Linked DNA regions of Pelodiscus sinensis. The protein of the gene in region 1 binds, or shares a complex with, the protein of each later gene. Links are inferred from orthologs where the notes say so. Each region holds a gene or a part of one and is shown in the gene's direction. Other genes may lie near its edges.

Region 1 (7,804 bases):
TGTTTTTTCCTCTTTGTTTAGGAGACTGATAATTATTTTATGGAAGCAACTAATGGCTTTTTATAGGGTAGTTTGGACTTTTTGTCAAACAGAATACAAAGTCACTGTCAAGTTAATGGTTAGTCTACTTGACAAAGCAGACTCCCAGAAGCTAACCTCTTGCTTTTGATTACCTAATAGCATTTTTTCTGTTGCCATTGTTATCGGTATTTCTCAAAGTTTTCAGATTGGTGACTCACTGAGAGTAAAATATTTTCATTGCCTATTTATGTTTACTTATGAAAGTGAGAGAAAAAAGCTTGAATTATAAGCCTTTATAATTAATATATGTATTTTGAGAAGTTAACAGAATATTTGACTTTGAAGGATAAATGTGGACAGGGATTGAGATTTTCTTTGTATTAGATGAATCACATTTTCAATGCTACAGCCTCTTACATTGCCTTTAGTCATTTCCCTGGGGCCCACAACGTGTTTGAGAAACACTAGTATAGCCATACAATATTTATGTTCGTTTATTTTATTTGATGAAGAAATCTGGAATTTTGTATTGGGGCATTCTGGCCCTCTTAAGAATGGGTGCCATGAGCCCAACTGGTGGTGGGGATTTGGCCCTCTCATAAAGAGAATTTCTAGGAAATGTAGTTCTGGACAGAAATCATGTCTCTGCTAGAACTCCATAAGGTGAGCCTGGAGCAGAATTTGAAGTGACTGGCATGGAGTTAAGTCCTAATTTGGTCTTTCCAGGGTGACAGACAGAAAGCTGGGAAACAAGCTACAAGGGTGGAGGAGTGGAGACAGGTTCAAGATGAAGAGCAGGACAAGATGAAGATAGTCAGAGAGGGAAGAGACACAGGCACACATGAGCAGAGTGACATTGGCGTGTGAGTTACACATGCATTTATCCAGGGGCTGAGTCTCAGGATTTCTTTTCACCCTCACTACTCTGCCCCATTGTTATCCCTGCCCAATAGGGCAAAGGAATTGTTGGCCAAGGAAATGGCTAACAAACTACAGAGCTTGAAGGTCAAAATGGACTACTTTAATACAGAGAGGTTACCAAAAAGTGTGTGTTATTTTCACACTGCCTCAGCAACTGTACAAACCTGGAAAGAAACTGGAAGGGAAACTGTGGTGAAGACATGTGACTGACACTTAAAAGAGCTCCCTTAGACAGTTCTTATGGATCCTCTGCTGATTTTGACCTAGAGTATTACCTATGCTTGTCCAAAAGGCAGCTGCTGTTTGTTTCAGATGTGGATCTTGCCACAGTGATCCATGGCTTTATCATTTTGGTATTACTGCAATGAGCTTTGCACAGAATTAAACAGCTAAACTAGAATATTAGAGAAGCAAGGTGGATCAGATGCAGTGTTTCCTGTAAGCTGTGCACTTGGGTTGCTAACCAGGAGAGATTCAAATGCTGCCCAGCTGATTAGCAGAGTACCCACTGACAAGAGCATGTGTTTCTACTTGTGATGCACATCTGCATATGCTTTGGTGCATATAACAAAAATTATTCCACACAGCTGGAAAAAATAGTGGGAACATTGGTGAGATGTTATATTTTATTGGGCCATCTTCTGTTGGTCTCTTTTTTGTTGGTGAGAGACACAAGATTTTGAGCTTATACAGATCTTGAAAGCTTGTGTCACCAACTGAAGTTGGTCCAATAAAAGATATTACCTCACCTACCTTGCCTCTCGATCACTCATACTTCAGATGGTCCAGAAGGTAATACTGCTGGGAGTATTATAAGATGCTGGTTTAAACTAGGTCTTTTATTGGGTCAGGCCTGGTTACCTCAGGTTTTCGCTGGTCCCCCCCCTTTGTAATACCATGCCAACTGAGATTATCTGAGGCTCTCAAACTCACAATTCCTTGGTTAATCATGAAGGGGCTCAGTCAGGCCATTTTCAGAGAGGTATCATTGGCTACAGAATTCTCTTTCCCCATTAGTTCACCAGAGACTCAATCTGTTCAACTTCAATTCACAATGCAAGGCTCATGTGTTCTTCAAAACTATTTCTGGGCTAGGGTAATGGGTATGGTGAGGGAAGAATTCTGTCACCCAAATTCTTTCTAAAGGAGCATATGTATTTTGAGACAGTAGGGCCTATGTGCAAAGAAGCACATCTTGGAGTTTTAGTTCTGTAAAACACAGTCTAAAGGGGGGTGGGAATTAATGTTAGAAGTGTAAATATGTTGACAAATGGCAGTTAAAAGAAATTAACTTTACAGCTATGTTCAAAGTCCAGCTGTATTTGAATATGCAGACTGCCATGAGTGACAAAGTAACTAGTTAAAATATAGTGTTGTGTAATTGCATTATCTTCATAATATTAAAATATCAAATGGTGTTCCACATCAAATTGTACTATGTATTACAACTCCAGCTACTGCTAAAATAAATAAAATCCTATGGTTTGACTTCACATTGTTCATAGAGGTATCTCTATATATGAAGCTATTCAGTCAGATTAGAAATGAGTTTTTTGTACTGTAGACTTACTTTCTATTTTGTAAATAAACTTTTCATTTATAAAAAATGAAATAATTTATTCAACCTTAAGGGAAAATAATTTAGCACAAGTTTCACCCTTTTATCCTATGAATTTTAGGGAAACTTCTTTCAAGAGATGATGGTGCAAATATGGCCTCTATTTACTGGAATGCAAAGATGTTTAATGTTGCAAGCTTTTTGTGAAATGCACACAGCAGCAATCATTTGGCAGTTTCCAGTAAAATTCAGCATTTTCTAGTAGTCTTGAAGTGTTAGAAATCTACTTTGTCAAATAGCAACACTGATTGATTATAGTAGCAGAATTCCAGCTGGAAAAGGATTATGACAGTTTGAGTCTCAGAGGGAAGAGTAAATCTTGCTGGCAGAGGAGCAGTTGAACATCTTAAGCAGGGTAATTCTATTCTAGTAATTGCTGTCCTCTCAATGCAGAATATGTAGACTTTTGCCAAAAATGTCTCAAGTTTAACAGTGAAAACTAAAAGTAAAACCCAAATCCATCTCAGTGGTAAACAATGTAAAATATGTGCATGAGATGAAGGCTATGTCCACACTGTAATCTTAAATCGACCTATGTTACGTCAATTTACAGCTACTGCATTAATTATATTGTGGTGACTGAGGTACACGTTACCCACCTGTTGGTAGTGTGCATCTCCACCAGTGATTCTTCCATCAACTGAAGAGCAGATCAGGAGTTCGGCTGCCTGGGCTTCTTGCTTTCCTGCTGTCACCAGGGGGCAACACCACATGGCTTTTCACCTCCTGATTCCTAGCCAGGAGCCACTAGGGGCTTCTCCCTTTTGGTAGGAAGATCTGCACCTAGAGTCCAGTTGACAGCTGTGATGCTGGTGAGGAGTGAGGAGCCAGGAACTCAGGCAGCAGAGCTCTCTGTTAGGAGTGGGGAGCCTGCATGGGAGCCGGGATAGGAGCCCAACTTGGAGCAGAGATCTAGCAGCAGTCTGTCTAGGGAGCTAGGAGCCAGCTTTCCTGTCAATTTCATTTGTATGTTTGTACCTCTTTGTACAAACAGGACTTATAGATATGTATAGTATATCTATTTTCCAAACTTGTGCTGTATTTCTGCACCCAGGCAGACTGGCATCAGCACTGGGCTTGCTTGATGGCCCCATCATGGGACATGAGCTGTACAATGAACCCATAGAAAGGAGCCAAGGACTACACCTTATCACTCAGCAGAGTATGCTGGCCAGGGTATACTACCCTACCAAGAAATACAATTTTTAATGATACATTTTAATTTGTGTACCAATATGGTATGCCTCACTCCTTGTTTACTAACTAGGGTCAAAACTTTGAGTTGCAGTTGTTTGAGGTGACTTGTATGCTCTAGGAGGCAAAATTATAGGCTCCTAGTGCTCAAAGAAAACTTAGGCTCAAAGAAAACTGAAGTTTTGACATCAAACCATCTGTCAGCTTTGAAATCATGTGATCCAAAAAAATAAACCTTTACATAAAAGATGAAAAAGAACCAAAATGTAAATAACCTAATATTTCAATACAAACAAGAGGTGCAGAATTACTGTGATATGTGAGAACAACGAGAAGTCCTGTGGCACCTTATAGACTAACAGATTTATTGGAGTGTAAGCTTTCGTGGGCAAAGACCCACTTCGTCAGATGTGATTGTGGAAGCTACTAACGACTGTTAAATTTCCAATGATTGCTATTAAAAATATCTATTGACGTTCATCTGCGCAATGGTAACAGTGAATGAAGTGTTAAGAGTAATAAAAATATGCTTTCAAAAAGTAAATAAAGGAGCAAAACGCCATTTAACAGTGCATTGCAAGAAAACTGCAGTCCAGTCCAACAATCTGAACAAAAGACAAGCCAAATATGTTCCCTGCTGCAGCTATGAGGTGTTAGAGGGGCATATAAATACATGCGCGAGAGAGTCTTTTAAACATTGACAGTTATCGTATGTAGAATACTTCACTGACTCAAACCTGTTTTAACAGCTCCATTGGAGGCACCAGTTCCTCTGCTGTGCACTGTACCCTTAAGGGCACAGTCCTGGGAAGCACGTGATGAGATGCGAGAGCGGGGATCTCCTCCGCCCCCATTGCTTTTTTTTTTTTCCAGCCGCAGCAGAGGGCTCATCCCCATTGGGTAACTGTCACCCCCGCCCCTCTGGCTGCGCAGCAAGCCAGTCAGAAGCAGGGCGCACGTGGTCACCCCACAAGGGGGCCGTTCCGAACAGCTGTTACTGAGCATGCTCAGTTCACAAGCGCATGCTCAGTACCATGAGAGTAGCCTGGGGCGCAGGTGGGAGACGTTCCCCGCCTACTCAGAGCGGGCTCAGTCAGGTTGCGGGGCCTCGCACGCCGCACGCAGACAGGTCCGGCAATGGCGCTAGGCTCGGCCTGGGGGCGGGTGTCGTGGCTCTATTACCAGTATCTGCTCGTCACCGCGCTCTACATGCTGGAGCCCTGGGAGCGGACGGTCTTCAGTATCCTTCCGCGGCCCGGGCCTGGGTTCCGTTAACTGAGCGGCAGCGCGCGCCGGAGGATAGTGAGCCGGCCGGGGAGGGGGCGTAGCACGTGGCTGGCCTCTAAGGGGAGTGAGGCGGAGGTGCGGGGGAGGGGTGATGGCCCCGCGTGGGGAGGGGGCGGGCTCGGGGCGCAGCAGTGGCTTGTCTAGGGCCTGCTGCTCCGCTTCGGGCGGGAGCTGGACCCGAGTGGCTGCTCTGCTGCTGTCCAAGCTGTGAGCCTTCGCGTGCTTCTCTGCGCACTCAGCGGTGGGAGCGCCGCGGGGTGTGGCTCGGCCTCAGCCAAGCTGCGAGAGGTGCTTGCGGGTGGCAATAGGTGGGTCTGGCCTCTTCCCTGCGCAGGCTGCTCTGCTGTCCCTGCAGCCCGCGTCCGAAGAATGCTGTGAGGTCAAGGCACCGGGCTGTGACTTGGGAGGTCTGGGTTTGATTCTGTGTTCCCAGGTGCTCTGAATGCCTTGGAGCACTTCTCTGATGTTGAGTGCCTGGTGTGCCCCTTCCTGTCTGTAAAATGGGCCCGATAACACACTCTTGGCAGGTGTATGGTTTATGCCTTTAAGTGATTTTTGGGAGGTGGTAGGCCCTTGTTCACATAGCTACACTGGCTAACCCCCCTGTATGCTGGTAGTTTAAAAACTCAAGAGTTCTCTTGGTCTGTATGAGTTGATGATTTAATCATGTCAGATAGTTGCCGTTATAACTACACTAGTTTTTGAACGTGTCAGTGGTGCAAAGTGTATAATGGTTAATGTGGTACTATTTCTTTTGGCCCATGTGTGAGGAATATGTTCGCTCTTTGCTTGTTAAAATCACATTCATATTCACTATCTGTATTGTTACAACAGACTAACAAGTGCTGCCAGCTGTGAGAGCAAGCAACAGAGTATCTTTTAGAAAGAAGTAAGGTGTATCCAGTATCTGTCTAGCTTAAACTTTCACAGGCCTCTTTTTGGATTTATACCTCTTCTATCCATTTAGCAGTTTAATTCATTTGAGTCAGAGATGGGTTTTTGTCTTGATGCAATTTCTCCTTTCATTTTTTTTTATTATGCGATTTTTTTCTGTGTGTTAACCTGAGGAATTAATGTTTTTATTAGCCAAAAGTACTTCATGTATTTCTTCATATTTTGCACACTTGAAAGGAAAACGTGTATTTCATGTAACAAGCAAAGTAACTTATATATGTTGCATAGTCATGCAACTCTAGGTTTCCATTTTGCTTGGTCTTTAGTTTACTGACCCTGTAGCTGCTGAATTTGCCCGTTTTATGTATTTCACTACAAAATAGACTGCTAATATGAAGGTTCAATGTAGAGACCTATATCTAGAAAATTGTTTAATTGAGTAGTTGTTTCTATAAGATAATGTCTTCGGGGTTTGACTCTCCAGTGCCTTTCTATTCTGAATGTGATAATTTGATCTGTTAAAACAATACCTCATATTTGCAGCCATATTTGCAGATGACCTTTAAAAGTACTTGCAAGGAGCACTGACAGGAGAAGAAATAAATTAATGTAACCGATAACAAAGAGAATAGGGTGGTAGTAACAATAATGATGTCCTTGTTGGGGTAATGGTCTGTTGTAAAGAAAATATCTGCTGTTAGTAAACACAGCTACATCTCTATTACTATATGGACTATTTGAGCTTCAGGTAATTTTTTTTCTACAGTAATGGTAAAAAATGGAAAGCATACAGAACAAATGAATGGACTTGAACATTCATGTTCATGTACATTCATGTAGTATGTTGAATTTCTCAAGTTAGGTAGTCTATACTTTTGTAATAATTCCTGGCTCCATTTATGCCAGGTCCAGTATCAGTGAAGAAAGATCTTTATTTTCTATACTTCAGGAGTGTTATGATTTGTCAGAGTAATTAGGCTTGAACATTGACTTCATTATCAGTTAAGCAATCTTCTGATTCTGACAAAACATAAGTAACTGAAGGGTGTGTGTATTTGTCCATATTTTGTTTACAAACTGAAACACTAGTTCCTGCAAGTAGCATTTAAAATTGATTTGACAGATATTTTCAGGATTTTTTTATTGTATTGAAGTAATTGCTGAGTATTAGGGATATCAACGTGTAGGTGACTATACGATTAATTGATAAGCCTAGGCTTATCTGTTAATCTTGTTGACTACATGCATTTCTCCCCCCCCCCCTTGCTGCCTCAGTATCCGAGACAGCAAAGAGGAGAGCTGGTGCTGGGGAGAGTTGGCTTAAAATCTAGTTCCCCCTAGCACTGGCTCTGTGGTACCACCTGCCCCCCGTCCCATGCTCCTGCTTCTGTTAGAAGGGACAGCAGGAGAGGCTGCCATGAAGCAGCCTCTGTTGAAGGCAAGCCCTGTGGATAGAGGATGCTTTGTATCCCACGGAGCAGCCTCTGTCTGCGGTGAGCCTTGGCTTGCTGTGGGCAGCGGCTGCTTTGTGGCAGCAGCCCCTGCCCATTGAGGGTCCGAGCTCACCACTGTCAGAGGCTGCTCCACATCCCATGGAGCAGCCTCTGTCTGTGGGGAGCTCATATCTGCTTTGGACAGGGGCTGCTATCACCTCACGCTGCTACCTCTGATAGAGGCAGTGTGGGGTAGTCTGAGGGCTCCCTGGGAGTGGGGCTGGGAGAGCACTGGCTGCCAGTCCCACTTCTGGGAACTATCATATAGTGGTGTAACCACTAAGATTACATATAGTTATGCAGCTATTCAATTATCTGATATCTAACATCCCTACTGTGTGTACTAGGAATGTAAGTGACTAGGCGAGTCACTGCT
Region 2 (7,448 bases), about 7.0 Mb from region 1:
CAGGGCCCGAGCTGCTACACCCAGGCAGCAGTAGCTGGACGAGGGGCTGGGCCAGGATCACCACAGCTGGATTGTGGCCTCCCCTCCTACCTGTGCTGTAGCAGGAGAGGGGCTACCACCGCCAGCCCTTCCTGCAGCCAAATGTGGGCCAGACTGCAGGCCTGTTCCAGGATTGGGGCGGGAGACAGGATGCTGCAGCTAAATGGGGCTGGGTACTTTTACTTTCTCATGTCAGTTTACTAAACTTAATTTTAAATAAAGTAAAATATTATGTTCAACACAAAAGGTTTGAACATTGTCTTTATTTACAGCAGGGGGAGGGATAGCTCAGTGGTTTGAGCATTGGTCCCCTAAACCTAGGGTTATAAGCTCAATCCTTGAGGAGACCATTTAGGGATTTGGGGCACATCTGTCAGGAATGGTACTTGGGTGTGCAGTGAGGGCAGGGGACTGGACTCAAAGTCCCTTCCAGGTCTATCACCCACAGAAAAATCAGTCAGGGACCACACAAATGAGAAGCAAAAAAACAACCCTTCCAAAAACTTCCCTCCCTCACTAATGTGGCCCTCAACTGAGATACCTCACTCAGATTTTGTGGCCTTCCCCTAGGCTCTGGGGTGGGGCCAAAATGAGGGGTCCACTCTGTTGAACAGCGCTGCCAGTGAGTGGGATGATAGGATCTGTGTGAGAAGCAGTGTGCTGTCTGACCGGGGTGTGTGCAGGAGTAGATGATGAGGCAGGGGTGCAAGATCTGGGTGGCACTTGCTTTTGTGACTTGTGCTGTTCTCAGGCAGTGGGAGAAGCCTCCAGGCAGCACATCTGGGTGCTGCTGTTCCCCCAGCTGCAGGAGTGGGAGTGCGCAGAGCCGTGAGTGGTTCTGCTTCTTCCCCAATCACACAGTGAGGCTCAGGGCTTTCTCCAGCCAGCCTGCCCTCCCATCCCTCCCCGCAGCAAGCTGGCACTGACTCCAATCTCGCAAGGAGTGCAAGGTTAGACTGCCAGCACGGGCTCCCCATTGCCGGGGGGAAAGCAGGGGGAACTGAGCTCAAGTTGCGAGCCATATTTGGCTCATAAGCCATAGGTTACCAAATCTGAATGTAATGAACAATTATTAATTATGTGATAGTGTGGCACTTCTTAAGGAGTGATAGGCCTCAGTTCAACTATGAGAAGTGCCAGTTATTTCTCCAGTGGGAGAAAATGAAGGTTATGTGGCTAGTAGGTTATGCATACCAATGGGGAGAGGGAAAAGTGGGCAGCTGCCCAGGGGCTTAGTGATTTAAAAGGGCCCAGGGTTCATGACTGCCATTACTGAAGGGCTGGCTGGGGGGAGGCAAGTCCCTCTTTGCCTCTCTGCTTGAGGCCCTACCTTTTCCAGGGGCACAGTGCCCCCCTTATCTTGCCCAGGGTCCTGATAAGTCTATTGTTTGCCCTGGGGTCAAGTGACCTTGTGACGGACTGGGCCGGGTCTGGGCACAGCCAAAGGCATCTGCTCAGGGCGAATTGCTCAAATTCAGGGCTCTCTATAGCCCCCAGACTGGAGATCTTCCCAAACAGGCCACAAACCAGACCCACAGAGTGCTTTAGCTGCCTGCCTGGCCAGCCAGAAGCCTCACGAACAAAACCCCTCTGACACTCCAGCAATATCCATGCCCCAGATGGCGCCGGGCCTCATACACAGGTGAGGGGTTTTAGAACCCAATCTCACCTTCTCCAAACAAGTTCTGTCCGGTTCCAAGAAAACAGCCACAGATTCCAGGTCTACTTGCACTCTGGACCTTACTCACAAGATCATGCTGAACCAATTATTTAGAATCTAAAGGTTTATTACTAAAAGAAAAGAAAGCATGAGAGTAAGGTTGTTAAAGTATCATGCATTACATGCATCGACTCTCCCAGGTCTCGATGCAGGCTTGTAGCAGAGATGTTATAACTGCTGGCTTAAAAGTCCTTGGTGTACATCCTATGTCACGATGGATCTACAGTTCTTCCCGGCTCGTGATTCCCTGCAAGGCTGCATCTGGGGTCAAGAGCAGATCTGAAGACCCCATGGAGGATGCCACATAGCCCCTATATACCTCCTTCCTCGTCTCTTCTTGGCTGCAGCAGGTTACCTGGCCAGAGGCCTATCCCTGTGTTCCCTGCTGGTAGCCCTTAGGTATCAGTCACCATTCTTGAGGTGTATCCTTGGCCTATAACGGGCTATTGTTCCATGGAGACTTGCTCATTAGCATGTCCATAGGCTGAGCTTCCTTGCCCATTGCTCAACCATATACAGAGAAACACACAAAGTACATGCTTACAACTTCTCACACAGACATTATACAATCACATGAATAGCATATATAGAATCAGTATAAGATAAGCTTTCATTTGACACCTCACATGACTCCTTTTGTACCACTTTTTGGGGCAACCCCCTCCCCCCCACGGGTGCAACAGTGATCTGGCTGCTCCCCTAAAATCCAGTAACGTGACAGACCTAATCAGTCTTCTTAGAAGGGAAGGCCCTGCAGCATAAAGGAACTCTGACTCAGCTGGGGAAGAAGGACTCTCTGTTTAAGAGAAAAGCGCCAGGGTATGTCTACACTAGCCCCCTAGTTCAAATTAGGGAGACTAATGTAGGCATTCGAAGTTGCAAATAAAGACCGGGATTTAAATAAGCCCTCATTACACGAGGTATAACAGTTAACTCAAACTAAGGACTTAGTTCGAGTTAACGTTTGACTGCCGCGTGTAGCTGCGGGCAGTTAGTTCGGACTAGGGGGATTTAAAAATGGCGCCCGGATGGAAAGATGCAAATAAAGCCTGGGATATTTAAATCCCGGGCTTCATTTGCAACATTGAATACCTACTTTAGCCTCCCTAATTCGAACTAGGGGGCTAGTGTAGACATACCCCCAGTGAATTGAAGTTGGAGCTTGGAAGGCTAAACTCCTGATTGGAGAGACAGAGAGATGGAACTCACTGTGACTTAGCTCAGGAAAGAGGGACTCAGAGGACTAATGTGTGAAAGGGCTCAATAAAGTGGACCTCAGAAGGTCAGTATTTTAATTATCTTTTGGATTATGATGTGGAGTGACAAGGAATCCAAAAAGGAAAACTGAGGCAGAGTAACCTTTGGCTGCAACACTAACAATTTTAAGAAATTACAAAGGAGATAGCTTCTGCTCTCAAATACGTGTGCGCAAACTTGGAATAACTTGTTTGCCTTCCATGAAATTATTCTAGATTTATACCCCCGTGACTGAAAGCAGAAAATGACCTAAACATTTTTAAATAGCATAGCCCTTCCCCTCTCAACTAAGGGCAGAAGAATCACAGATCAGGTTTTAGCTTAAGATATCATTTTCCCACCCATTATCCCAAATGCGTCTGATGAAGTGGGTCTTTACCCATGAAAGCTTACGCTCCAATAACTGTTAGTCTATAAGGTGTCACAGGACTCCTCATCGCTTTTGCAGATTCAGACTAACACAGCTACCCCTCTGATACTGGACACTATTATCCCAGTGTGTCCTCCAGCAAAACTGAAGACCCAAACCCAAATGTAAAATTACACATAAAAAATGCCATGTTTATGCCTTCTCTGTTCTTTAAGAAACAATAAAGGGTGAGCACAAGTGCTGACACTTTGCAGATCACTTTTTCTACAGAGTAATTTCTATTAAGCTTGGTGACCCCCAACTTCTGATTGGATTATTAGATTTATTCCCTCAAATACCATATTTCCTGTACTCTAATTTGGCCAATATTGATATATATTTTCTACATTCAGTCACAAGGTCTTGATTAGACTAGTAATAGAAATGTAGCCGTGTTAGTCTGGTGTAGCTGAAGCAAAATACAGGACTATTATACTAGAACTTCTAACCAACTTTGAAACTCTTTACAAACATATCAACAGGTAGGTTTTTCAACAAGCTTCATGTGGACAAAGAATTTAAACACGTTCACAACTTAATGTACAACCGCAGGTCCCAAAGAATAAATTTCTTCTGGGCTGCTGTTTGCAGGGGTTCTACCAGGAGCCAGCTAGGATGCAACACAAAGGCCGGCCGTGGGGGGCCAGCGGAGCTAGTGCATGAACGGCCCCGCCCCGCCCCAGGCACTTCGCCACTCTCCTTCAGCGAACCCGCCTTGCCTGCCACTGGCTAAAACCCATCCGCCCACCGGCTCTTCTAGCCTGTCATTGGTCAGGGCCTACCTCTAGATCCCGCCTTCCTCCCGATTCGCTGCCCTGTGATTGGGTATTTTATGGTCTTCTCTTCGGGCACCCTGGTTCTGTGCTGGGCCTCTCCGGGCCAGAATATTTGTGCGCTGGGATAGGGTATCTTGGTGACCCGCCCCTCCTGGCACACGGTCCTGTCATGGGGCCGCTCTCCTTTTGGCCACGCCCCTTTTTCCTTGGCCCTTGCCCTCTGTGTCACGGAAGCGCAGAGGCATTGGGTGTGGGCCCTGCCCCCGCTTGACGTAAACGCGTGTGATTGGCCACCGCGTCAGGCTGAGTTTCCGCTGCCGGGCAGGGGTGCGGGGGCGGCGGAGCCGGAGCGATGGAGCGGCCGGAGCAGCGCGCCGGGGAGCCCTGCTCCCACTTCCGCGCCAACGGCTGCAGCCTGACGGAACACGGGGCTCTGCGGAACGGATACGTGCGGGGCCTGCCCGGGGCCGAGACCCAGGTGTGGGGTCGGGGCAGCCGGGCGCGGTGCGAAGGGGCGGCCGGCCCCGGGGCTCCCCTGCGGGAGCGGGCGCGGGGTACCAGCTCTGCTGCCTCAGGGGTGGCTGGGGGCCAGCGGAGCCCGGCCCGGGTCGGGGCTCTTGGGCCTCCCGGCGCCGTAAGCAGGCAAACGGGCCGCGCCCCGCTAGGCTTCGCCGCTCGCGGGCTCTGCAGCGAATGGTGCCGGCTGCCAGGGGTCGCTCGGGCCCGCCTTGGCCTGGGCGAGACTCGGCCTTGTGGATGCCGCTACTAGGTGTGGCTGCGCGCATGGGACCTGGCCTGAGGCGCTGGCTGCCCCGCCGGCCCTGGCACCAGTGAAGCGGCTGCTCGCCCGCCTCACGGGGCGGGGCTGCAAGGGACCGAACCAGTTTCTTCTGTCACCCTTCAGGTGGCTCGAGGCTGCTCAGCCTTGCCGGCGAGAGGGACAGTGCTGTAGGGTGTGTGTTTGTCTAGGGTGGGCTGGGGAGGAGACTGCAGACAGCGCCAGAATGGCCCTCTCACTCAGCCCAATGCTCCATCTAACCTAGTGTCCTGTCTTTCAAGGGGAATTAATGGAATAAAGCATTTAAGAACTAATCCATCCCCTATATTTAGTTCCAGCTTCAGGCAGTCAGTAGTTTAAGGATACTCGGAGCCCCTTATTGGGTTGTCATCTCTGCTAAAAGTCATTGATGGATCTATTCTTTGGGATATACTTAATTCTTTTTTAAACCCAGTTATAATTTTTGCCTTCTCAACATTCCCTGGCAGTGAGTTCCAGAAGTTGACTGCTTAGTGTGTAGAAGTTGTTCCTTTTCTTTTAAAACTGCTGCTTATTAATTTAATTGGAATATCCTTGGTTTGTGTGACATGAAGAGGTAAATTATACTTCCTTATGTAACCCACACATCTAGTGGGTGTGGTTCACTGTCCTATGTAGTGACACTTAGACCACTTAACAGCAGAGTGAAAAGAATGTGTGAGCTCTACAGCCTAAGCTGAGAGCTGACTTTATAGCTCAAGATGTAGAGGTTCCTATACTAATCTCCAGCGGTCCCAGGTTCAAATAATCTGCCAGCAGGTGGTTACACTGACACACTTTCTCCACTCCATTCTTGATTTTACAGATCTTTGCAGTATCCTCACCAGTTGTATCTTCTGAGCTGAACAGTCTCTTAATCCAGAGATAGGCAACCGAGGTTAGTTAGTGGGCTGCATGAATAGCCATCTCAGTGGGCTGTAAGATTGTGGTAATCAAGTCTGTCTTCTGAAAAAGGGTAATTTTGCTAACTGAGCTTGCATATCTAGAATTTGCAGGATATGCCAATTGAACCATAGCACCACTTACATTGGATGCAGAGGGAGCCCAGGGGTTTCATGGTTAATGTGTGCAATCCGTATGCACCTTATTTTAAATGCCCTTGCTTTAAATGCTTGATGCTTTAGAAATACTGGGGGGGGGGGGGAACTACCCAGACAGAAATCATCAGAACTTGGCAATTCTGTGCATGTGCAATGGTAAACATAAAGTCTTGTGGGCCACATAAGAACCCTGATGGGCCACATGCAGCACACCATTGCGCTAATCACTTTTGTTTCCCTTCTCTGTAGGGTTTTTTTCCAATTCAAATACTCTCTTTTGAGATAGTGGGACCAGAATTGCACTCAGTATTCAAGGTGTGGGTGTACTATGGATTTACACAGCGGCATTATATTTTCTATCTTAAGGTACGTCTACAGTGCAAGGCTATTTTGGGATACCAGAGGTATCCCAAAATACCTACTTTGCATCTTTTGAACACGTCCCCTCTTGTGAAATATAGTGGACCTGCTATTTTGGCATCCCTGTAAACCTCGTTCCATAAGGGATGTCTCGAAATAGTGTGTTATTTCAAAATTTGGCACTGTATAGATGTGCCAAGTTTCGCAATAACCTATTTAGAAATACAATTGAAATAAGATACGCAATTTGTGTAGCACAAATTACATATCTTCTTTTGAGCTAAGGGTGCAGTGTAGACACACACTTAGTGTCTATTCCTTTCATAATGATTCCTAACTCTGTTAGCTTTTTTTTGACTACCACTGCACATTGATTAGATGTTTTCACAGACCTGTACATGATGATTCCAAGATCTTTCTTGAGTGTCAGCAGTTAATTTAGACCACATCATTTATATGTATAGTTGGGATTTTGCTTTGCAGTGGACGTTATTTTGCATTTATCAGCATTGAATTTTATCTCCCATTTTCTTGTCCAGTCACACAGTTTTGTGAGATCCCTTTGTAACTCTTCACAGTATCATCTACATGATTAGTCAGTAAGAGAAGGTTCTTAGAAGGAGCTACCTCTGCTGTGGCTCTGCAGTTTAAATGTAGTAAGAGCCAGGTCTGCAGGCAGCCTGCTGCAGAGCTAGTTCTTGGACCCACGGTGAGTGGAGACTGAGTCAGCCTTGCTCAGTCATGGCTCCTGCCAGGTCCAGTGGCTGCTGTCATTGGTGGAGGAGGTTCCCAGCAGGGCAGTGCTGCATGGAGCCTGGGGTCAGCTGCTTTGAGATGCTGAGGCAGCATTTCAAAGGGACAGTGCCACACAACTGAGCCGGGGCAATCAGCTGTGTGGTGCTGCCCCTTTGAAACGCCACCATGGCATACCCATTAGAAAGAGGCAGCGAGGGAGGGGAAGGATGTGATACTTCAAAGTGGCAGCGCCGCTTGAAGCCTGGGGCCAGATCCCAGACTCCACATGGTGTTA
Region 3 (7,631 bases), on another chromosome or scaffold:
ACTATTAAAAAAGAGATAGACAGTAATTCAGAAAATATCGTAATGCCACTTTAGAAATCCATGATACACCCATACCTTGAATGAGATATGCAGTGCTTGTTGCCCCCATTTCAAAAAATATAATAGAACTGGAAAAGGTACAGAGAAGTGCAAAAAATGAGTAAGGATATGGATGAGATTTTGGGTGTCTCCCCCCACAGGGCTTAACTTGAAATAAGTTTCGCAAATTGAGCTATGTCAATTGCATAGCTTATTTTGAAATAGCTTATTTCAAAATTGGGAGAATCTACACAGCACTTATTTTGAAATAGAGTACTCTTCCTCCGACTTCCCTAACTCCTTGTACAATGAGGGTGACAGGAGTCGGAGTAAGAAGTCCTCCAGTTTGACAGTATTTCACAATTATTTTGAAATAACTTCCTACTGTGTAGACATGGACTAAGTTATTTGATAACGCTAGTTATTTCAAAATAATGTTGCTGTGTAGACATACCTTCTGTATGATGACCGGGACTGTTCATCTTTGAAAAGATACAATTAAAGAAAGATATGAAATTATGAACGGCATGGAGAAAATGAATATGCAAGTGGTATTTACCCCTTCACATAACATAAGAATCAGGGATGACCAAATGAAATTAATAGGCAGCAGGTTTGAAACAAACATAAGGAAATACTTCTTCATACAATGCAGTCAACCTGTAGATTTTATTGCCAGGGATGCTGTTAAAGTCAAAAGTATAATTGGGTTAAAAAAAGAATTAGATAAGTTCACAAAGGATAGGTCCATCAATGACTATTAGGCAATATGATCAGGGATGCAGCCATAGGCTCCAGGTGACCTTAAACCTCTGATTGCAAGAAGCTGGGACTGGATGACAGGGGTTGGATCACTCATTAATTGTCCTGTTCTGTTCATTCCCTCTGAAGCATCTGGCACTAAGGATATTAAATTGAGGTTATCTGGCTAATTGTGTAGTTGATACATATTGTATCGATTACGTGATGTGTCGATAAGGACCGCTCTGCAGAGCCACAGTGGGGGTAGCTCCAGGAGCCAGCTTGAGCTGGAATTGAGCAGTCCTGGCTCATGCCGGCTCCGGGAGCCACCAGCACTATGGCTCTGCACTTGAAATGTAGAGGTGCAGCATCCCAGATCAATGCGAGATTTGTTGTTGCTTTGCAGCAACCTCCCCTATCCTTCCTCAGACCTCTCCTCTCTCCCCGCTGGCTGTAATAGAGGCAGCAGGAGGCAGACAGAGCGGTACTGCAGAGACAGTGCTGGGGCGAAACCAACTTTTAAGCCAGCTCCCGCAACCACAAGGTCCTGTCTCCCCCACCTTGTTGCCTCTCTGTGAGCAAACTTAGGAGGACTGGCCATGTCATCAGAATGGAAGACCACTGTCTCCCAAAACAGATATTGTATGGGCAGCTGAATCTGGACAAATGAAAGGTTTTCCATATAAGCTCTTCAAAGATAATCTGAAGAGCAACGTGACACTCTATATAACTCGGGGGGGCACCTTGTATCCCCCCCTTATTCCCTATTTTGTATATAATTGCGATCTTGCATATAAAGCATGCCATGTACAATATTAGGGGAAAATTCATGAACAGCTGAAACCCATTGTTTTATCTAAATATATGTCTCTTTAGTAAAAGCAATAAGGAATCCAGTGGCACCTTAAAGACTAACAATTTTATTAGGGCATAAGGTTTTGTGAGTTGCAACTCACTGTGTCAGATACATGAAGTGAAAGAATCAGATGGTAGGGATACAGATTCTTTCACTTCATGCATGTGACAAAGTGAGTTGCAACTCATGAAAGCTTAAGCCCTAGTAAAATTGTTAATCTTTAAGTTGCCACTGGATTCCTTGTTGTTTTTGCTGAAACAGACTAACACAGCTACCTCTCTGAAACAAATCTTTGGTGCATATGAAGTTAGGAGATTGTGTTATATGATTGTCACTAAAATGTGCTATAAGTTGGGGAACCTGCCATATATTAGATCTTCAGAGACAACAGCAATTAAAGTAACCAACAATTGGGCAGGTGTCAGAACAGCCATTGAGGGAGCTACAATGTGATGACCAGTCTCCACCCCACCCCTTATGGAGCACGCGGTGTGGCACTCTAATGGCAATTCTAAAAGGCCCAGGAGTCCAGCAACTGCTGCTGCCACAGTAGCAGTGGTGGCAGCCACAAGCCCTGGGCCCTTGAGAATCACCAGGCCCTGGGGCAATTGTCCTCTTCACTCCCTCTGTTGATGAGCCTGGTGGAGTCATATCCATAGCATTCTATGAGAATTGCAACAATATTGTCATCATCATCAGTGATGGATTACCAATGTCATAGCAAATGTGGCATAACAGAACGCAACATATGTATCATTAACATTTTCATGTACAATTAAATCATTCTGCTACTTAGAACTGATTAAGTTGTGATAGAGAGACGTTGCAGTTTGAAGAGGGCCAAGGTTTATGGGAAGGGTGATGAGAGACGGTAAATAAATTTGGTTTTGTAAGTGCTTGTCAAGAAACATCTGGCACATTTATCAAACTGTGAAAAACAGAAATGAAAAGATTCTGCACAGTGTCCTTTTAGCCTTTCTGCCAAATACATTTACTCAAGAACAGTGTTCCCTCTAAGATTTTCCATCCATGAGCAGAGTGAGCTTTGTCAGCTGCACCAACAAGGTCATATGCACTTGTTCAGATGTGTGCCACTGTGGCAACCAATGGCGCTGTTCCCCAAGACTCTCTCCCAGGTAGTGCACCCCTGCCACGTGACCCTACCAGGCGCTGGCCGCTGGAGCACCCCAGACCCCCCACCATGCCGCCCCGGTTCTGGCCCCAATAGGGCCATCAGAACATCTGCCAGACCAGTTCTCTACCACATGGCTCCAGTTCTGGCCCCAGCTGCAGCTGCTGGAGCAGCCACTGCGTGCCTGTGACCCAGCTCTGGCCCTGGCCCCAGCTGGGACTGCTGAAGGAGCAACTGCCAGTCACCCGCCATGCAGCTCTGGCTCTAGCCCCAGATGCTGGAGTAGCTGCCACCCACCACGTGTCTCGCAGCTCCAGCTCTGGGGCCAGGCCTGCATGGTAGCTGCCCTACTGCTCCTTGGGCAGGGCAGCCTCACACCCCAGAACAGTTGAGCAGCCACTGTGCAGCTTTGGTGAGGAGGTGGGCGGGGCTCAAATTATTGGTGTGTTCCTGTGCAGGTGGCACCTTTGGGGGAACAATGCTCAATAACCAGTCATATAATTTTATATAACTTTTCTTGGAAGTTTAGTAATTACCCAATGTGTTCTAAATAAAAGAATTTTGTGACAATGAACAAAACTAATCCTAGAAACTGTTTTCAAGTATTTGCCCCAACGCCATGAAAAAGAAAGAAATAGTGTTCAGCGGGGCACAACTAGGTGGCTTGCAGGACATGGCACACGTTGCAGGCCTACGGCCACAGGGGGACCCAAATCCAGAGGTGAAAAGCAGCATGCCCCGGTGCAGGGCTCTGGCAAAAAGAAGGTGGGGCACTTGGCTGCAGAGGCTCCCAACCAGCTCCTGGAGCTCTCCTCCAGGATGCTTTGATAAGAAGCAGGCAACCAGACAGGTGAAAGGATCTGGCTGAAGGTGTGTGTCCCTCCTCCCCTGTTGATGGCTGCCCCAACTCCTAGACTTGACCTGCAGCCTTTAGAGGGGGGTTGCAGCTGCATGCACCTGGAACTCTGCTGCTTTTCTTCTTCCCCTATCAAGGAGAAAGTGTGCAGCTTGTGTGCCCAGATTCCTGCACTTCCTACATCCCCCCTGCCCTTATTCCTGAATGCCCCAAAACTTTCCTGCTCTGAGGACTCTCTCCTGCTTTACTCTAATCCTCTGCTTTGATCCTCTGACACTTAAATTTCTTACAGGTACTGTTGTATTGAACGCCGCCTCCCAACACTCTGCCCTCAACTTTTCCCTCCTCCCATGGTGCAATGCGTACTTAAGCATGGCTATCTCTTTGCTCTAGTTCTGGGATCAGGACAGTTGTGTTTTCTTCTTTCAATGCATAATATTTTCCCTCATCTCTGCTCTTCGTGTCTCTCCTGCACGTTGTCCTGTCACTGATTGGCAGCAGTAGCCCTGCTCGTACCCCTGTTCTGTCTTACACGCAGAGCTTCGTTATCCCCCTCTCTCACGCACGGGACACAGACTAAGGGACAGACCAGTGTTAACCATAAGGAGGAAGTTGGTTTATTGTAGACATTCAGTCACGAGGTTATTTAAATGAAAGAGGTGTATTGTGATGTGTCAGGGACTACGCAGAACTAGCGACACGCACGTAAAGCGGATCCAGCAGGGACTCGAGCCCCCTATTACAAACGAGGACAATGTATATTCCTCACAGCTCTTGACACCCGCCCTCGGCAGAAATTTGCACCGCTAGGACCCTGGGTCACGGCCCGGGTGCCCCCAGTGAAGGCGGGGCCGCTGCTCGCGCAGGTAAAGGCAGCAAACGCGGCCAGTTGCCGGCCCTGCCCAGTGCGCAAGAGGCGCTGCGCAGGCCTGTCGGCGAGCACGGAGGAGGCCAGGGGCCGATTTATGCCCGTGGGGCGCGCCGAGCGCAGCGGCGCTAGGACCCGCGCGCGCAGCGGCCAATGGCCCCGCCCCGCCTTCCCCTCCCCAGGTCCTTGCTTAACGACACGCGGGTTTCGGGGGCGCGGCGGGGAAGGGCGTGGTCACGGCTCAGTGACGTATCAGCGTCTCCCCCGGTTCTGCCTGCGCCGGCTGACGTCAGTGCGCGCCGCGGCCTGGAAGCGGCGCAGGCGATGGCGGCGGCGGGGACGGGGCAGCAGTGGGTGCTGGTGGAGATGGTTCAGGCCTTCTATGAGGTGAGACTCCCGCCCTGGGGAGCGGGCGCTGGTGGCACCGGCGGGGGCGCTGCTTTGGCCGAGAGCGCAGTAGCTCCCCGCCCCCCTGCTTCCTGGGGGGTGGGCAGGTCCTCTTAAGTTGCGCGGGTCTGGCAGCGGGGCACGCTGGGGGAGGGGCATGGAGGGTGGTGGTTGGGGCCCGGCTCAGGAATCTCCTTGGCGCTGGGGCATGGTGGGTTCGTGTAACTGATCTTAGGATCCTAGACCGCTAGAACTGGAAGGGATCTGGAGAGTCCAGTCCCCTGCCCTCATGGCAGGACCTGGTGCCATCTAGACCCTCCCTGATAGACCTTTATCTAACCTGCTCTTAAATATCTCCAGAGATGGGGATTCCACACCCTCCCGAGGCAACTTATTCCAGTGTTTAACCACCCTGACAGTTAAGAAGTTTTTCCTAATGTCCAACCTAAGCCTTCCTTGCTGCAGTTTAAGCCCACTGCTTCTTGTCCTATCCTCAGAGGCCAAGGAGAACAATTTTTCTCCCTTCTCCTTGTGACACCCTTTTAGATACCAAAGACCCTATCATGTCCCCTCTCAGTCTTCTCCTTTCCAAACTAAACAAGCCCAGTTCTTTCAGTCTTCCTTCATGGGTCATGCTTTTTAGATCTTCAATCATTCTTGTGCTCCTCTTTGGACCTTCTCCAATTTCTCCACAACTTTCTTGAAATATGGTGCCCAGAACTGGACACAGTACTCCACTTGAGGCCTAATCAGCGCATCTACTCTGATTAGGCTTCAAGTGGAAGAATGAGTACTCGTATTTTACTCACAACACTCCTGTTAATGCATCCCAGAATTATGATTGGTTTTTTTGCAACAGTCACACTGTTGACTCATATTTAGCTTGTGGTCCACTCTAGCCCTTAGATCCCTTTCTTCAGTATTCCTTCCTAGACAGTCGCTTCCCATTCTGTATGTGTGAGACTGATTGTTCCTTCCTAAGTGGAGTACTTTGCATTTGTCTATATGAAACTTCATCCAATTTACTTCAGACCATTTCTCCAATTTGTCCAGCTCATTTTGAGTTATCCTCCAAAGTAGTTGCAACCCTGCAAACTTAATAAGCATGCTCTCTATCCCAATATCTAAATCGTTGATGAAGATATTGACTAGAACCGGTCCAAAACAGACCCCTGCAGAACCCCACTTGTTATGCCCTTCCAGCAGGATCGTGAACTGTTAATAACTACTGTGAGAGTGATTATTCAGCCAGTTATGCACCCATCTTATAGTAGCCCCATCTAAGTTTTATTTGCCCAGTTTATTGATAAGCAGGGCTCAACAAATAATGCAAGCTACTCGCCTGTGGTGAGTAGATTGCAACCTGGAAGAGCCGGGTTTGGGCGATCTGTGCATGCGCAGAAGGATCTGCACATTCACAGATCACCGGACAGCGTGGCTGGCAAGCGGGGCTCGCTGTGGTTCAGCGAGCCCTATTGATAAGAATATCATGTGAGACTGTATCAAGTGCCTTACTAGAGTCTAGGTATACCATATCCACTGCTTCTCCCTTATCCACAAGACTTCTTATCCTGTCAAAGAAAGCTATCAGATTGGTTTGAAATGATTTGTTTTTTATAAATCCATGCTGGTTGTTCCCTATCACCTTATTATCTTCCAGGTATTTGCAGATAAATTCCTTAGTAACTTACTCCATTATCTTTCCTGGCACAGAAATTTAACTGACTGATCTGTAGTTTCCTGGTCTGTTCTTCTCTTTTTATAGATGGGCACTATATTTGCCCTTTTCCAGCCTTCTGGAATTTCCCCTGTCTTCCATGATTTTTCAAAGATAACTAAAAGCTCAGATCTCTATCAGTTCTTTGAGTATTCTAGGATGCATTTTATCAGGCCCTAGTGACTTGCAGACATCTAACTTTTCTAAGTGATTTTTAACTTGTTCTTTTTTTATTATTATTATCTTCTAAACCTACCTCTTCCCCACTAGCATTCACTGTTAGGCATTCCTTCATCATCAGACTTCTTGGTAAAGACGAAACAAAGAAGTAATTAACCTCTTCCATTTCCAAGTTTCTTGTTACTGTTTCTCCCTCCTCACTGAGCAGTGGGACTACCCTGTCCTTGGTCTTCCTCTTGCTTCCAATATATTTATAGAATCTTGTCTTGTTTCTCTTTGTCTGTAGTTAGTTTGAGCTTGTTTTGTATCTTTGCTTTTCTAATCTTTTCCCTGCATACCTGCATTGTTTATATTCATCCTTTGTAATTTGTCCTAGTTTCCACTCTGACTCCTTTTTTATTTTTAGATCATGCAAAATCTCCTGGTTAAGTCAAGGTGACCTTTTGCCGTACTTCCTGTCTTTCCTATGCAGCGGAATAGCTTGTTTTTGGGCCCTTAATAATGTCCCTTTGAAAAACTGGCAACTCTTGTCAGTTGTTTTTCCCTTTAGTCTTGCTTCTCATGGCTCTACCAGCTCTCTGAGCTTACCAAAATCTGCCTTCCTGAAATCCATTGCTTTGCCCACAGGGAATTGGGCAGTGAACCAGTCTAAGGGTGCGATAGCTGGCGATCAGTGCCCTGGCTCACTTCTTGGAGATGTAAGCAGGGCTCAGAGAAGAACAAATTGAATGAGTAGTGGCTTGGAGATACACTAACAGTAGATCAGGAATGCCCTGATCCAAGTACAAGGTGACATTCAGCCAAATTAAAAAGCAAGAAATTTGCAACTAATAAAAGGACTTCTTGTCTTATTAG
Region 4 (7,049 bases), on another chromosome or scaffold:
GGGCTCCTTAGTAATGTATTTCATCCAAGGGAGCCGACAGGATTGCTGAGTCCTTGGATAATTTAGGGAGGGAGCGGCTCCAAACTCCTAGAAGGGGTGGGGCCTCATCCGGAAAGGGCAGAGCTGGGCAGCCAGCCCCCAGCGCTGCCCAGATGACACACCACCTCTTGCCCCTGCTGGCCTTCAGAACCAGTTGGAGCACTCTCCAGCATCAATTCTAATGGGCCTGGGTTCCAGTATGAGTCTGCATTGCTATTTTGAGCCCTGCAAGACCAAGTCACAACTGACTGGGACTCTTCTCCTCAATACTCTGGGTCTTCTTTTTTTCTTTTCTGCATAGACACAACCTTAGTGTTTGTTGCAGGACTGGGTCCCTAGATGGTAACCAGATTGTTGTTAATGTAGATTACTGCCTATTGCTCTACATTTACAGGTACATTTTGAGAGCTACTAGTTAGCCAGTTTTTAATCCATTTAATGTGTGCCATGTTCATTTTATAGCATTCTAGTTTTTTAATCAGAATGTTCCATGGTACCAAGTCAAAAGCCTTACATTAACACGATTACCTTTATCGGCCAAATCTGTAATTTCTTCAGAAAGAGATCCAGTTAGTTTTATAGGATCTATTTTCCATAAGCCCTTAGTGATGTGCATTAATTACCTTACCCTCTTTTTAATTCTGCATTAGTCAAGTCCCAGATGCTCCAATATCTTGCTCATGATCAATGTCAAGCTGATAGACCTATAATTACTCATACCATCCCATTTTCTCTTTTTAAAAATTGGCACAGCATAAGCTTATTGAAAAATCAAGGTTCAGAGTTCATCAAGTGCCTTAGCCAGCTCTTTTAAAACTCTTGGATGCAAGTTATGTGGACCTTCTAATTTAAAAATGTCTAAATTTAGTAGATTCTGTTTAACAACTTCCAGGGACACTATAGAATGGAATAGAAAGATTAGCATCACCATATGATGAAGCCAGGTCATCTGTTTTTTCCTAAACATAGTACAGAAATATGAATTGAACATTCTGCCTTTTCTCAGAATTATTCACTGGAGTTAATATAGGGAGCTTATTTATTTTTACTTGAGAATTCACGGGATATATTGGGCTCATTTTGAGGCCCCTCATATGGGTAACATGGACTAGGCCCAGGTCCTCAGAGGTTGATTTCAATAGAAGTTAGGAGTCTAAAAATCTTTGAGGGACAGACCCTACAACTCAGGATTAAAAGTGGAGTTTAGATCTCAAGGGGAAATCCATCCCTCCCATGGGGCAGAGATAAGAGAGAGAATGAACTAATCATGGCACTTACTGCCCTACATCCCAAAAACTACAGAAATAAGGAGTATTAGATCCAGCATAAAGTAGAACAGCATATGCAAGCTCAGGAATACTTGAATCACTTTCTTTCTGCTACTAAGATGTGTCCAAAAATAGCATAGTTTCTTACCGGAAGGTGGTCAGTCATTTTCACAGAGCATCTTTACTGGGAGACTGAGAAACCATAAGAATAAGTCCAATATGAAGAAATGGTCATCATGCCTTTTTTGGGTAGGTGTGTTAGGTGCAGAGAGACCAGATAGAATTCATTCTTGTCATCCCTAATTTTATAAGCGTTCCATTAGTGATGCCAACAAACCACAGGATACCACTATTACTAGGCATTCACCCCACCTACTTTCTGTCTGTCCTTACCTAGATCTATTTCCCAACTATCATCTCCCGATCCCTTACTGTAACTAACCTTCATTATTTGCCTATTACTTCCCACTCATAATAACTAACCCATCACACAGTCACTGAATGGCTTAATGGAGTCTAGCAAAGACTGTGATTAATATACAAATGAGGCAGTGTTGTCTAGTAGGCTGAGCAAGAGTCAAAGGCCAGGAACTCCTGAATTCTAACCCTAACACCAACTCACTGTGTGATTACATTTTCAATATAGTTTTTAATAACTCTTGTCATTGTTTTGGTATCTCCATAACAATGAGTGAATCTGTCATCTTCATCAACAAAAGGCTGCTAACATCTTACTGATACTGAGAAGGTAGGTCAAAGGTTACTCACAAAGGACTAAAAAAAGATAAAATCAGGCCTCAGACTTGTGTAGAAGCGGATTGGTTGAATTGGCAGTGTGGTTTGTTATGCTGCCTTTCTGATAAATTAAAAGGGCCTGAAAAGGTTTTTATCTTTGTACAGCTTTTGAATACCTTGGAAGACTTTATGGACAATTAGAGAAGTTGGAGGATACTGACATACCAAGAAGTACAAGTTGTTTCATTGAAGGGAGAAGCGAATTTTAGGGGGCAAATTTAGGAATTTACAAAAAACAACAATACCCTTGAAAAAAAAAATTATCTTTGTAAATTATTCAACAACACTTTCTATCAATCAACTCAAAGCTAGAAAAACTCTAAAATACACACTTCTGAGTCCTCCAACACTAAATAAATAAGGGAAGAGATGATTTGACATTTCTGATACTTCTAAAAGAAAAAAACACATTTTCAGACCTTTATTATATATATATATATATATATATATATATATATATATATATATATATATATATATATATTTGGAAGAAAATCAGTTTCAGCCCCTTTAAATTATTTTGTTTTGCAAGTCTTCTCTAAAAAGAGACAGACAGACAGAGAGGAAATACAGTTTTATTTCAGTACATTACCATGGCAAGAGATTTCAGATTTGGCAAAAACAATTTCTAATCCAGATTTAAAATCTGGTTAATTCAACATTTAAATGCTGGTAATTTGAAAAGTTTCCTTTGTGTGTTTGAGTCAAATACTGAGTTTCATTTTCTATATTGCAACCTATAATTTGCTGGCAAGAGAGCAATTTTCTTTTATACTTTTTATTTAAACACTTCACTCATTTTTGCAGATTAAAGCCTCACCCAACTTTACTTCAAAATGTAGATTATAAAGCAGTTTTCCTTTAGTCAGAAAAATTAAGATCCTCCAAGTTGCAGTTTTAGTTGTTAGGACATAGATACAATAAAGATCTCTTCCTAAAATCAAACTGATAAGCAACCCTTAATAGGAAAAAAGCATCTTGAAAACCTGGGTAAGTAAAATCTACAGGACCCGGATTCTGCAAAGACACATGCTTGACATTAAGCACAAGTGTGCCCTTTAAAGTCAAAAGGCCCCAATCCTGAAAGCCTGCACATAAGGAATTCCATTTACTGCTTACAGGCATAAATGTTTTGGGGCTTACATTTAAAAATAAGACCCGCTCAAGCCCACCTGTAACAAACTGTTTAATATTTATTTGTCATTTGATTGCATAGCAGTCCGTTTAATTCCATTGTTGGCTAAAATAATGCACCTGAGACCTAGGCTCACAGTGCTACATAACAATAGTCCATACCAGAAAGGTCTCACTACATCAAAATTTTTCCTGAATAAAGACTAGGGACTTGAATCAGAATATCTAGGTCATGAAGATATAAAAAAGGAAGTGCTAACCTCTAATAGAGGCCCACATATGCTAACACTCTGCATTTGCTTATCTTTACTACTGTAAGTAGTTCCCTTGATTTCAAAAGGACAACTCAACAGTAGTAGATAAATAGCATAAGTGTTTGCAGGATCAAGGCCAAAGAAATCTCTGCTGATTTTGGTTACTGGGCCTATTTCAATACGAATGGTGGCTGATATCAAGATTTGTATAAATTCAAAATATATAGCTTTCCATTAGAAACTATTACTGCCTTCTTAATATTCTTAAATTTTCTATCGTATTTGTTTTAAGAAAAAGGTAGCATGCTTGTTCCAGTGTAAAAAGTCTTAGTGCAACCTTAAAATTGTGTGGGTTTTTTTTAAAACTTTTTAAACTTTCAGCCTTTTAGTAATCCACACAAACAGAATAATAATCTATCTCTCGTCCAAGTGGTGTCAAGGGACAAAAGTTTGGTACTGGGGAGTTATTTAGGAGGCAGTGTATCTTTAACCGTCTCCACCTTGGAATCCGCCCACTTTCTTTCTAGCGGCAGTAATCTTGTTGACTCAGGTGCCGTGTTCATACAGTAACCAGCGTGAGCTGCACACTTCATAGTTTTTTAAAAGCAGACCTGTTAACATGTACCTGCCATTCTACCTCACTCGGGCTCACACAGTATAAAGGTAACAGTTTGGTTTTTGATCTTGCACAAAGATAGTCCCTCCTTTCCTGGAAAAGCCAGACAGACCAGTTGGATACCTTTCAAGCCTCAACTCAGAACTTTATCATCTCATCCCTCTGCCTTTTAAAAGTAGAAACACCTGAGACATTTTTAAGACCTGAGAATCCTTAATCATTTAAACAAATGGCTAACCCCAATGCAGTCGGCAATGGACATCTCCATTCTCACCAGAAACGGAATAAACTCTTAATAAGTGGAATCTATAAGAAAAACGGGATTGCTAAAGAAGTCAAGGTAAGATTTAACTAACCTCTTCCTTCATTGCCTGAGCTCTGAAATCATTGAGACGAGCAGTTACAAATGTATGTAATAAGCTAGCTTTGTAAAAATCTGTCTTCGTTTTTCATCAAATGGGTGGCATAGTATTGGTTTTTCTGTTAAGTTTTACCCACGTAGGATCTAATCCTGTATTCTCTGCATCGTTGGCTGAAGTGTTATGGGTGCAGAAGCACTATCAAGGAAAGCCTTGTATGTAACTAGACGTTGGTATTTCATATTAGAAATAGAGAAATCCTACACACACCTTCCAGCTGAGGTTCCCTAAAGCTTTCCTGATCATTTTGCTGGTATTGGTTTGACAACTTGGCTTAGCCTCTTAGAAAGTTTTTGTAGAGTGTTTTTATGATGATTTGACACTGCACACATGTGACTTAGAAATAAGGAAGGAAAAATGAGGAAGGAGAGAGGTGGCTTTTGTAGTTGTCTGTAGCTTGATTTTCCTGGGGATTATACTGGTGTATGCCTAGCATTCTGTGTATCTTACCAAGGTATGCTTAGCTGGCTTAACAATTGATCTTTTTTTATTTACACTGATTTTACAGTGCTAGTAGTTCTTAAAAATCAAATTAGTCCACAGACCATTCTTTCAACATGTTGATGTGTGACTTGCCTCTTTGAAACCACAGCCTTTCATTTGCATGAGTGCCTCCCGGCACCTAATGAGAGGTGCATGGTTTCCCCCAGATGGTACGTCAAAATCACAGGTGTTCTCTTGTTAAACAGGTTGCATGAACTAAGCTTTAAAAGATGTCTGTGGGTGGAGCCTATCGTTATCCTACATGTACTGGGTCTTCAAACCAACACTGTGCTGGGTTTGAGACTCTATTGATGGCTATATCATATTTGAGCTCCAGTTTCAGTTGGGAATAGAAAAAAGTTTAAGAGCTAAATGTTGTGCTTTGGGAAGTGGAGCAGTAAGCAACACAATCTTGTGTCTGATTGCGTATCTGGTGTATTTTTTTTCCTAATTTGGCCTGTGCCTAATGCTTTAGGCAATGACAGTACCCAAATTGCCAGTCTCAGATGCATGAAAATCAAGAAACTTAAGACAGAAGTCTTTTCACAATGAGACGCTCATGCATTTATCATCCTCATTAAGTCACACACCCAATGTAAAAGTGAGTGGGTGCTGGCCCCAGTATGAGTGGCTCTTGGTTGCTGGCCCAACCCAAGTGTGAAAGAGGAAAAAAAACTTGTGCAATGACAGGGAAAGCCATTTCTTGGAATTTGCTCCTGTGAATCAAATGTGAATTTCAATTATATTGTTTTAAAAACTAATCCTGTTTCAATTTCTAATGTAATGTGTTATTTGCATTGAGAGCAAATTCTGAGCGGTGCGACTCACTCCCCAGAAGTAGTTAAGTGGCTGGACAAAGAATGAGAAAATGTGACAGAAGCAAATTCAGAGGCGTAAAAAGAGTTGACACCTATTAATACAGGTTTACCTCCCTTAACCGGGACTCTCTCGACTGGCAACAGCCATGGTCCTGCTGGACCACAAATGTTCCTGGACCACAGAGCCCAGGTATAGGGAGGTCAGGCTGTGGGGCAGGAGCAGCGGGGGGAGGGCCCAAACACTTAGCCAGGAGCTATGGGGCAGGGTGAGGAAGGGCAGGTGGCACAGTGGGGAGCTCTATCCCCTGCTGCCTGGTGTCATGGGGGCTGGGCAGTGGCAGCCACGGAACTCTGGCCCTGGTTGTGGAGCTCGGGGACAGCAGCGGCTCCAACCATGCCAGAGCTCTGGCCCCAGCCGTTGAGCTCTGATTCCAGAGGCAGCCACAGCTGGCCAGGCAGCAATGCGGCTAGGCTGGAGCCCTAGCCAGGGGCAGCAGGACAGCCCAGGCCATGTTGGGAGGATCCTCCCTGGCCCGTCAAATCCCCTCATTCAGGACCGGTTAGGACCCGAGGGTGCTGGACAAGGGAGGTCCAACCTGTAATAGGAATATAGCCAGAAAACTGGAAAAGCACGTCCTTGGGGTGACAGTAACAAAACAATCACTGGGCCATGGCGGTCTGGTTATCTGATGTATCTGTAAAAGTTGGGGATTATTACCCTTAAATACCAAATGGCGAGGTTAGTCAGTCATTTTGCTGTTGAGGAGGCTTGAGAGTGCGGGGTGTTTTTTGTTGGGGGGGGATTGAGTTGACAGAGGGCTGCCACTGGTTCTGCCTCTTGGTTTCCTGGGCCTCCTGTTTCTTGTTCTGTTGGACCTCACAGTTGCTGTAGTTCTCGGACCATGTCCTGGGACACCACAGCCACCCAGCACTGGAATGCTTCCTCTGCTGATGATAAATTTGACCCTTCCTTGACGGATGCTCCACTCCAGCAAGAAACCACCAGTGAGGTAGATCCCTGTTGCACTTGTAGCCAACCAACCTGGGGTCAGGTCCTGGCTGGATTTTCCGTTGCTCCACCACCAACTGGTGAATGTTTCTGAGGGCTGCAGCCATTCAAAGTGCCCATCTCAGCACCACTGGGGCTGCCACTGCTGCTGTGAAGAGACGGCGTTCTAATACTATCAGTTTTAAATGGGTCATGGGTGGGACAGAATCATTAT

The links.
Region 2: the proteins of SPTSSA (region 1) and SPTLC2 are in contact, whole or in part, in a cryo-EM structure (PDB 7K0K), measured with the Homo sapiens proteins. The link is inferred for Pelodiscus sinensis from reciprocal best matches to the Homo sapiens genes SPTSSA and SPTLC2. Residues at the interface, in NP_612145.2 of Homo sapiens: Trp15, Tyr18, Gln19, Leu21, Leu22, Val23, Thr24, Ala25, Tyr27, Met28, Leu29, Glu30, Pro31, Trp32, Glu33, Val36, Phe37; in NP_004854.1 of Homo sapiens: Leu73, Gly77, Val80, Leu81, Phe84, Leu87, Arg88, Leu91, Leu126, Arg129, Ile130, Tyr156, Met475, Pro476, Ala477, Lys478, Gly480, Ala481, Arg484, Glu485, Asp533, Leu534, Leu535, Gln536.
Region 3: SPTSSA (region 1) and SPTLC1 share a complex: the UniProt entries of both Homo sapiens proteins name them as parts of the serine palmitoyltransferase (SPT) complex. The link is inferred for Pelodiscus sinensis from reciprocal best matches to the Homo sapiens genes SPTSSA and SPTLC1.
Region 4: SPTSSA (region 1) and SPTLC3 share a complex: the UniProt entries of both Homo sapiens proteins name them as parts of the serine palmitoyltransferase (SPT) complex. The link is inferred for Pelodiscus sinensis from reciprocal best matches to the Homo sapiens genes SPTSSA and SPTLC3.

What each region holds. Positions count from the first base shown.
Region 1 is NC_134714.1:48,626,292-48,634,095, forward strand, and holds the start of SPTSSA (serine palmitoyltransferase small subunit A), read left to right. Parts: upstream 1-4,785; 5' UTR 4,786-4,891; coding exon 4,892-4,994; intron 4,995-7,804. UniProt on the Homo sapiens protein: Component of the serine palmitoyltransferase multisubunit enzyme (SPT) that catalyzes the initial and rate-limiting step in sphingolipid biosynthesis by condensing L-serine and activated acyl-CoA (most commonly palmitoyl-CoA) to form long-chain bases.
Region 2 is NC_134714.1:41,663,623-41,671,070, forward strand, and holds the start of SPTLC2 (serine palmitoyltransferase 2), read left to right. Parts: upstream 1-4,444; 5' UTR 4,445-4,553; coding exon 4,554-4,679; intron 4,680-5,532; exon of another isoform or gene 5,533-5,895; intron 5,896-7,448. UniProt on the Homo sapiens protein: Component of the serine palmitoyltransferase multisubunit enzyme (SPT) that catalyzes the initial and rate-limiting step in sphingolipid biosynthesis by condensing L-serine and activated acyl-CoA (most commonly palmitoyl-CoA) to form long-chain bases.
Region 3 is NC_134716.1:49,114,025-49,121,655, reverse strand, and holds the start of SPTLC1 (serine palmitoyltransferase 1), read left to right. Parts: upstream 1-4,630; 5' UTR 4,631-4,645; coding exon 4,646-4,879; intron 4,880-7,631. UniProt on the Homo sapiens protein: Component of the serine palmitoyltransferase multisubunit enzyme (SPT) that catalyzes the initial and rate-limiting step in sphingolipid biosynthesis by condensing L-serine and activated acyl-CoA (most commonly palmitoyl-CoA) to form long-chain bases.
Region 4 is NC_134713.1:188,490,067-188,497,115, reverse strand, and holds the start of SPTLC3 (serine palmitoyltransferase 3), read left to right. Parts: upstream 1-4,049; 5' UTR 4,050-4,335; coding exon 4,336-4,446; intron 4,447-7,049. UniProt on the Homo sapiens protein: Component of the serine palmitoyltransferase multisubunit enzyme (SPT) that catalyzes the initial and rate-limiting step in sphingolipid biosynthesis by condensing L-serine and activated acyl-CoA (most commonly palmitoyl-CoA) to form long-chain bases.